Xenopus tropicalis: one gene and its partner. The protein of the gene in region 1 interacts with the protein of each later gene in a pairwise test. Links are inferred from orthologs where the notes say so. Each region holds a gene or a part of one and is shown on either strand. Other genes may lie near its edges. The genes, in order: phyh and pex7.

Evidence for each region.
Region 2: the proteins of phyh (region 1) and pex7 interact in a two-hybrid assay, tested with the Homo sapiens proteins (2 studies listed by BioGRID, with this or other methods). The link is inferred for Xenopus tropicalis from reciprocal best matches to the Homo sapiens genes PHYH and PEX7.

Annotation. Positions count from the first base shown.
Region 1 is NC_030679.2:81,827,997-81,832,592, forward strand, and holds the start of phyh (phytanoyl-CoA dioxygenase, peroxisomal), read left to right. Parts: upstream 1-1,590; 5' UTR 1,591-1,933; coding exon 1,934-2,002; intron 2,003-4,596. UniProt on the Homo sapiens protein: Catalyzes the 2-hydroxylation of not only racemic phytanoyl-CoA and the isomers of 3-methylhexadecanoyl-CoA, but also a variety of other mono-branched 3-methylacyl-CoA esters (with a chain length of at least seven carbon atoms) and straight-chain acyl-CoA esters (with a chain length longer than four carbon atoms).
Region 2 is NC_030681.2:58,621,997-58,626,354, forward strand, and holds the start of pex7 (peroxisomal biogenesis factor 7), read right to left. Parts: upstream 2,946-4,358; 5' UTR 2,870-2,945; coding exon 2,740-2,869; intron 1-2,739. UniProt on the Homo sapiens protein: Receptor required for the peroxisomal import of proteins containing a C-terminal PTS2-type peroxisomal targeting signal. Specifically binds to cargo proteins containing a PTS2 peroxisomal targeting signal in the cytosol.

The DNA of each region.
Region 1 (4,596 bases):
ATATCGGTCCTTTAGACCAATTCGGCAGCTAATCGGCCCGTGTATGGGCACTATCGACAGGCCTGCCCGACCGATATCTGACCTGAAATCGGCCGGATCTCGGCCAGATCCCGGACCAACTTTTCCTATACCCATCGTTATAATTCGATCGTTTGGCCCCAGCGACATTGCCAAGCGAGCGGATCTGAAGGTGTATGGGCACCTTAAGATCACTATAGCAAATGGATAAAGAGTACTTCATTAACCCGAGACATACCAGTAAGATCTTTGTAGAAAATGAAGAACAAACATTGCATTAAGCCTTAAGGTGCCCATATACGTTAAGATTCGCTCGCTTGGTGAGATCGCCAAGAGAGTGGATCTTCACCCAATATCCCCACCTACGGGTGGGCGATATTGGGGAGCGTGTAGGCTAATTCGATCGTTTGGCCCTGGAGCCAAACGATCAAATTATATTGGCGGCAATGGGACAGTCGGTTCAGGGACCGCATCAACGAGCCGATGAGGTCCCCGATCCAACTAGATTTTCTAACCTGCCCGATCGAGATCTGCCCGATTTCAGGATTTACAGCAGTGTTGATATTGCTCCGTACATGATACTTTTAGTCGCAGATTGAATTGCCGTCTGGGTTTCGGCTGTACGTTCGAGCACGCACTGCTGGCTCGGTAAGTGCTCCCGTGAGTTTCTATAAAAAACAGATATCGGTTGGGCAGGCCCATTGGTAGTCCCCATACACGGGCCAATTAGCTGCCGAATCGGTCTAAGGGACCGATATCAGCAGCTAGAATCGTCCCGTGTATGGGGACCTTTAGATCAGATGCCGTTAGTGAAATCACACCCAACATTACAACTGACAAATTGGCTGTTTGTATTTTTACATTGATTTTCTAGTATAGTCATGGCAGAGTGTTTTAGTTAACTGCAGATGTCTGGCAAAAAAAAACCCAAAACAAATTTATATGCAGTGGGCCTTTAAATTAAACAATTCACCAACTTAGAAATCTGCTGTATCACAAACTTTTTTAGTGGTGTATGGTACATATATATTAAAGTGTGTGAAATTATATAAAACATGACTTCCACACATTTTGAATACATTTTCCTCACCAAACCAAGACCCTATGGATGTTTTTAAGGGTATTTTATTAGTCATCGCCGATTTTTTAGTTAAGTGAGTTTACACTACGCGCATTTTCTCCTATAAGGGATCTTAACAGATTTACTTTTGCCCAGTTGAGAGAAATGAGGGCAGCAAGAGACAGGAGTAAAATATTTGCAGGGGAAGAGGGGACGGCTGTTCCCAGGAGAAGGAGCTCACAGATTACTTTTTGCAGGGAACGAGTGACTTGTTTCTAAGTGAAGAGGTCGACACTGAGAGACTACAAAGGAATCACTACTGTACTGACCTTTGCTGTCAGTCTTCCACAGTAAATCTAGAAAAATGTGCAGGAGGGACAAGGAGATTTCTGATAACTTGAAGGGAAAATCCGCCAATGCCCTCTCACACAGGGCTGTGCCTTAGGACGTGACGGTGAGTGCAGAGGTTCAAAGTTAACTACAAACTATCCAGTAACACCACACGTACGCACAGCACGTTTGTGAGAGAAGCTATACAGTATATACTTAGCCAGGTTTAACAGTGGACAGCTTCAGGGAGAATGAACTAGCTAACCGCAGCTAGCGCCTAACTGCTGCCAATGGTTTCCCCCTCCCCTCCCATAAAACTCCTGCATTATTCTATGGTTCAAAAGGCCGTTGTGTCTCTTTCACTGCCTTGCACTGAGGACTCTGTCGTGGGCGGCGCAGTAAGAGAACTGTATAGGAGGGGCTTAGGAAAGACAAATGTGTCATAAGTAACTAGCACAGGTCTGACCAGCCTAGTGGCTTAATCCTTTTCAGGAAGGAGTGATCTGTGCCGTTGTTTTCAGGAAGATGCAGGCTTACAGACGCAGTTTCGTCCCGGGAAGCGCCGGCCGCCTCGCAGTCCTGCAGCGCCACCTCGTATCCTTTGTTATGGAGAGAGGCCAGTGACAGGCCTATGTGTGACAGTGCTTACCAGCTGTCATGGGGGTCCGGGGACTATGGAGGGTATGCACGTAGCCATGCCCTGTAATCTGAATAGTGTCAAGTATCTAATACCTGTAAATCTACTATGGTTTGGTATTTGGACTACTTGGGCATTTCTGTTGACGTTGTTTATCTAGAAAGCATGCAGGCACTCTCACATAAACAAACATTTATTTTTTGAAAAAATGAAAGACAATGTAATTCTAAACAGCTTTCCATAACAATGCTTTGAATTGAAAGGTATATGTAATTACTTCTGAAAGCTTCAGATGTCTACTTGTTTATATTCTCTGAGTTCCTTGTTCTGACTTCTAAAATGTCCTGTCACATTGTTTTAGTAGTCAAAACTGGAGAACAGAAAAGGATAAACACCTTGAAAGATGCTCAACTTTGTGTTAATTTTTAGTGTGATGTAGAGAGTGCTATACTGAGACAATTTGCAGTTGGTCTTCATGCTTTATTCTTTGCATTTTTTTTAATTATTTCTCTTATTGTTCAACAGCTCTCCAGTTTGAAAGTTCCGCAGCTATCTGGTTGCTAGGGTTTAAATTATCTTGGCAACCATGGAGTAGTTTGAAAGAGAGACTGGAGTATAATTAGGAGAGAGCCTAAATAGAAAAATAAGTATTAAAGGGCACCTATCACCCCTATATTGTTTCCTCCACCAGAGCTGCGGGCTAATAGAGCCTTCACTCCGGTTGGGAGAAACAATAGTTTTCTGTGTAGGAGGGTGATTTACATTCACAGCTTCTAGGTCAGGCGAATGTGAATAGTAAACGCGTGGTAGATCACTTATTATTCTCATGCATGTGCCCCAACATGGCTGCCTGCACCAGGGGCTCCCTTCTGGTGCAGGTAGCGCAGCACTGGCAGGGGCAGATTTTTTTAAAAAAAATATTGTTTCCCCTATCTGAAGTGCGGGCTCTATTAGCCCCACCTCTGGTGGGGGAAAAAATATAGGGGTGATAGGTGCCCTTTAAGGAGAAACAATAACAATAGTTTTTTGGCTGCTGGGGTCAATGACCCCCATTTGAAAACTGGTAAGAGAAGGAAAATAATTCAAAATCAATAAAAATGAAGCCCAACTGAAAAATTGCTTTAAAATGGGCATTCTACAACATACTAAAATGTAACTTAAAGGTGAACCACCCCTTTAGCAAATAATAACATTTCTTTTACTTTTAAAAAACAGTATTCAGATGGAGGACCCCTTTAAGAGACGTAATACAATTTGCTAATGGAAAAAAAGTATCTGCAATATGACCTTTTTCATGTATGTTTTGCTATGTTTAGCTCCTCGTCTGCCAGAGCAAAAATATTGTGCATTTGTATTTATGCCAGTTTCTCTGATCAGAGAAAAAAAACCCCAAAAAACAGATGGAAAAAACAGGGTTAAATCACAGCTAGCTGGAGCTCTGTATTCCTCAGTGTGTGCCGTTGTATGATGAGTGGGCATGTTCCACTCTGCTACTGTTTTGTTCCTTATCTTTGCCTGACGTCCTCGCTCTTATTAGGGCTCTGGCACACAGGGAAATTAGTAGGCCGCGACAAAACTCCATGTTCGCGGGCGACTAATCTCCCCGAGTTGCCACGACCCGCCATCCCACCGGCGAACATGTAAGTCGCCGGCGGGATGGCACATGCGGCGGCGCGATTTCCCGAAATCGCCAAAAAAGACTTGCAAGTCTTTTTCGGGAAATCGCGCCGCCGCGTGTGCCATCCCGCCGGCGGGATGGTGGGTCGTGGCAACTCGGGGAGATTAGTCGCCCGTGACAAGGGAGATTTGTTGCGGGTGACTAATCTCCCTGTGTGCCAGAGCCCTTAGATCGAATTATATTGGCAGCAATGGGGCAGTCGGTTCGGGAACCGCATCAACGAGCCACTGCGGTCCCTGATCCGACTGAATTTTCTAACCTGGCTGATCCATATCTGGGCAATTTCAGGCCAGATATTGGTCGGGCAGGCCCCTCGTTGCTGCCTCAACACGGCCCGATAAGCTGACGAATTGGTCCAAGGGACCGATATCGGCAGCTACAATCGGCCCGTGTATGGGGACCTTAAGTCCCGTGCTTGTTTTTTCTGGTATGGGACATTACCTGCTTTTGTTTTGTTTTTTTTTGTTTTTCAAGTCTCAGTCGTCTGCTTTTTTCACATTAGGACAGTCATTGGCTGTGTAGGTTTACAGGAAGAGTTTTTATAAGTTTATATTGCAATTTTGGTCTAAATAACACACGTGGATTATGATTTTTTACTTTATATCCACTTTAAAGGATTTTTATGGTGTACTTTTTATTTCTAAATTATACTGTTTACATAGCAAATAATTCACTCTACCATTTAAAATTGTATTCTTGAGCCAACAAATGTATTTTTTTAGCTGTAATATTGGTGTGTAGGCAGCCATCTCAGTGCATTATGCCTGAGTCTGAGCTTTCAGAAGGAGCCAGCGCTACACTTAACTGCGTTCAGGCAACCTATTGTTTCTCCTACTCCCATGTCACTGGAGGAGTCCCAAGCTGGACTTGGAT
Region 2 (4,358 bases), on another chromosome or scaffold:
GGGCTGCCCTACTTTTCCTGTGTGTGCCAAACTCTGCCTGTCCTATGCGGCCTGTGTGTGCCATACTCGGGCTGCCCTACCTTTCCTGTGTGTGCCAAACTCTGCCTGTACTATGCTGCCTGTGTGTGCCATACTCGGGCTGCCCTACCTTTCCTGTGTGTGCCAAACTCTGCCTGCCCTATGCTGCCTGTGGGAGGTGAACCTGGCAGGGGTTTGTTCTGGAAGTTTGTTAGCATTTGGGAATAGTCATTATATGGGCTCTTAGGTGCGTAAAATTATATGCTGGACCTTGCTGTGCTATCCATAGGGGGAAGGAGGCATATGGATTTAAGGGTATGTCTTAATATGATATAATATAATTCTGTCACATATGAATGAATGATGATATCCCTAATGTGAGTTCCAACCATTCAGGTTTTTGCTGCGCTACCACCATTAGTGTGGGTATGGTCTTAAAAACTCTTGCGAGAACATGGGTGTGGTCTGGAGTAGTTGCAGTTTAAAAAAGGGGAGTGGTTAAAACTGGCTTCTATTATCGTTCCTCCTCCCGAAAAGTTGTGGCCATCAGTACCACAGAAGTTGGACAGCACTGACTTATCGTTTTGTTTAGCAGGTCTTTAGTTTGAAATTTTAGTAGCTATGTGGTTGCCAGGGACCCTAGGATCCAGGCAGTTGTTTGAATGAGACACATGAAGATAAATAGGAGAGGGTCTACATAGAAAGAAGAAAAGACACCATTTGAAAGCTGAAAAAAGGCAGAAGAGGAATGCAAACAAAAAAACCAAGGCCATTTTTTCTCCTGTTATATCTACTACTACTATGAAAATGTCTGTCCTCACATAACATTAACACCATTGTATTAGACCCTCTTTCTTTCTCAAGCAATGAGATAACACTCATCTATGACCTTATTCTATCCCACTTAGACTACTCCAACCTACTGCTAACCAATCCATTCTCCTAGGGTGCTGCTTCTTACCTCTGGAATTGCATCCCTAAATTTCTACCTTTAAAGGGACAGTATACCCCTTGTTCAACATGAGTTTAGAGAATGGGGATTGTGCTGAACATGCTTTTGGCTATTATTTTTATTATAAATATCTATAATTGTTATATCTTTATATAAATAGGGCATATTTTGAAAGCAAAACTAAGTAACTTTCTGGTCCCAGTGAGGCAAAACAAATCAGCAGTCCATTAAAAAACCTCTATAAAAAAAAAAAGCATATAAAAAACATGCTGTAGTTGGGGGAAGGGGTTCATTTATACAAATGCGTTTCAGTGGGCAGCAAATATAGTTTGACTTATTGGGACCAGGAAGTAGAATATTAGTTGAGCTTAATTTCCAAATTTTACCATGTTTAGCTCAAGAACTAAATACCATAGCTTTTTTAAGCAACAGACAAAAAATATTTCAGTACCAACTCTATTCAATGAACCAATGTTATATAAGGAGGCATACAGATGCTTTAAGGGACACACACTCAGCCTCTTCAAAAAGTAACTCAAATGAGGTACTCGAGGTACCATTGAGAATGTTCTCTGTAGCTACATCTCGGTCTGGTTTAGAAACTGCATTGTTGCAGAACAAAAGTCCTTACAGCGAATAGTGAAAACAGTGGAAAGGATCAAAGGAGACCCTCTCTGACCCATCTCCCAACTCTACCAGAAACACACTATCTCCCTCTTGCCGTCTGGAAGAAGGTTCCGTAGCATTCAAACTAGAACTGCTAGACACTGCAAAAGCTTCTTCCAACAAGCAATTAGAGTTGTAAACTCAATACTGTTATAAAGAACTGCCTGTCAAAGTTCAGTCCATTGCTACATTGAACTTTTACAAATACCATTTAAACATATAAAATACCAATTGCACCTGTCAGTTTAAATCTGTCCTTGTACTATATGTTTTTTCATTATGTTGTTGTTATTCTTAAAGGAATGCACCATGGGGACCTGGAGAAACTTAATTTCCATAAGTTGTATATGGTTTGTATTGATAATAAATGAATCTTGAAAATGTTATCTTTTGGAGTAGTAGACCAATATGTGGTTCTATCTTGGCTCTTAAGGGCCAACAGCCAAACCTCTGTGCACAGCAGCATTCTGTTTATGCCTGTATGTTATCCACCCACTTCCAATTGTAAGCTCTATAGGGCAGGGTCCTTCTTACTCCTTTGTATCTAAGCTTGCAAGTAAGCAAGTATTTTTTTCTGTCTGTCTACATAATATTTATTGCAAAGTTTGTCTTCCTTCTTTGTACTTGTCACATACTGTTAAGTTTACCGCACTGCATTTAGTAGCAGCACTACATAGTAACATAGGTTGAAAAAAGACACACCTAAATGTAACCTGCCTAACTGGTAACGTTATAAATACCTTTTAATTATGTAATGCATTATTTATTGATATGCCCAGTTTATTTTTCATATCTTTCTTCATTTTGTGTCACAATAGAGCATACAATCTGAGTTCCCCATAAAACAACTGAAAATGTACCAGTTGTACTCTATTAAAATGGAAGGAGTAGAATAGCAAAAAAAAAATTCAATAAAAACAAATCAATTCCTGCAAGACCTCTTACTATACAAATTAAAAAAAACAGCCAGCCCAGTATTACAAATATTCCAGTTAAAAAAAAAAACATGAAATTAACTTTATTTCCGAAGAAATATATACACTTTTAGTCACCACCGTTGAGCCACAGCACTGAGTTAAAGTAAAGACGAGCAGATGCTTCACCTGATATGCCATAGTTTTGTGAGGTAGCGCATGCCAAAGTGGAGGGTTTGTAAGGCGAGAACTCCACCGCATAACCATGCCTGTCGGGAATGCGGACTGCATGGAGTCTTCCATCTCCCGAGACTGCCATTCCCTGAGTACGTAACCCACTAGACCTACCAACCCAAGCAGCCCGCAATTTTCAGCGGGAAGTGGCGTCACACCTGCTGGCACGTGACGCAGTTTCAGAACGCGAGGAAAGCGCGTAGTAAAATGAATGTTTTGCCCATGTTTCTAGAAAATAAGAGGATATATGGCGACTTCATAGGTTTACCGAGCGTTGCGCTGATCTTGAATAAGAGAATATCATCATATGTACGTGACGTTTTGGTACCAATAGCTTCTTGTTCCACCCCTTCCTGCTCAAAGTTTAGCCCAAAGGAGGAGAAAGAAGGCGATAGAAAATGGTGGCTACTGCGGTGTGTTGGGTCTTGTGAGCGGAGCTTGTCTTTTCAAGTACGTTGTTTCTTTACCGTAATTAGCTCAATATACAAGCTATTTAAGTCACTGCTAATTTTTGCCGATTTAATGTTTTACCGGTCTAATAAATGGGTACATTAGGTATTTTCTTAAGGCCCGCATTTTGAGATTTGCAATGATCAAATCGGAGGCTCCTGGAACGGAGCCATAAGTTATTCGCTACTCCATGCGGTGTACATAAACATCATTTTCTATTTTAGTTGTCTGGCGCACAAACAATGCACAACATGAGAAATTAGGTTCTGGCAGAGTCACGGATCTCCTATCCGTTTTGTTAGCTTAAATCCTGAGGGGTGTCTGGATGAGCTACTTTGTAACCTGGCAATTGTTTTCTTGACAGGCTGACCAGACAGGGCTCTGTTTACATCAGCAGGTAAGGTTAAGGGGTGTTACCATTACCACAACTTGCAGCTTATTAGAGCTCAGTTTACAAAGCTGGGGGGACATAAAAAGCCAGGAAGATAAAAATAAATATTTGCTTAATTGTTTGCTTAATTAACATGACTTAAACACAGGATTCTGCTTCAGGAGTTCTATATTTAAACTATATATTTAATATATATTCTATATTTAAACCCATGACAGCATCCCTTTACCTGTTGTAGAATATTTTTTTATTTCAACCCTTAAAGAGAAATTGACACCAGAAATGAAACCTTTTTACATCTATCAAAACATTATCTTTGCATGCGATTTAGAATTTAGCATTGAAAGTATTTGTCTGATGATTTTACATTAGGCATCTGATCTCCCATGTTCTTTTATGAGGGGGCTGCAAAATTTGTGCAGCAGCAGTAGTCCATTAGCATTAAAAACTATAACTGACAGATTGAGCAGGGACAGTCAGGTTTAGTAACTTTAAGTAACACTTACAAAAGCAGACCTATCAAAGAAAAATGATCAGTGTGACCTATAGGTAACTTTTTAATATTTTCAGTCTCACTATCACTTTAAGATGATAGTGCTGTTTATGTTGTTTTGCAGACCCTCATTTTTTTTATATTAGGGTGGAGGCACAAAGAGCTACTTAGTAACAGATACTTGTCACAGCAACTAAACACCAAAGTACCCTGCCATAGATAATACTGAGAATTGCTTCT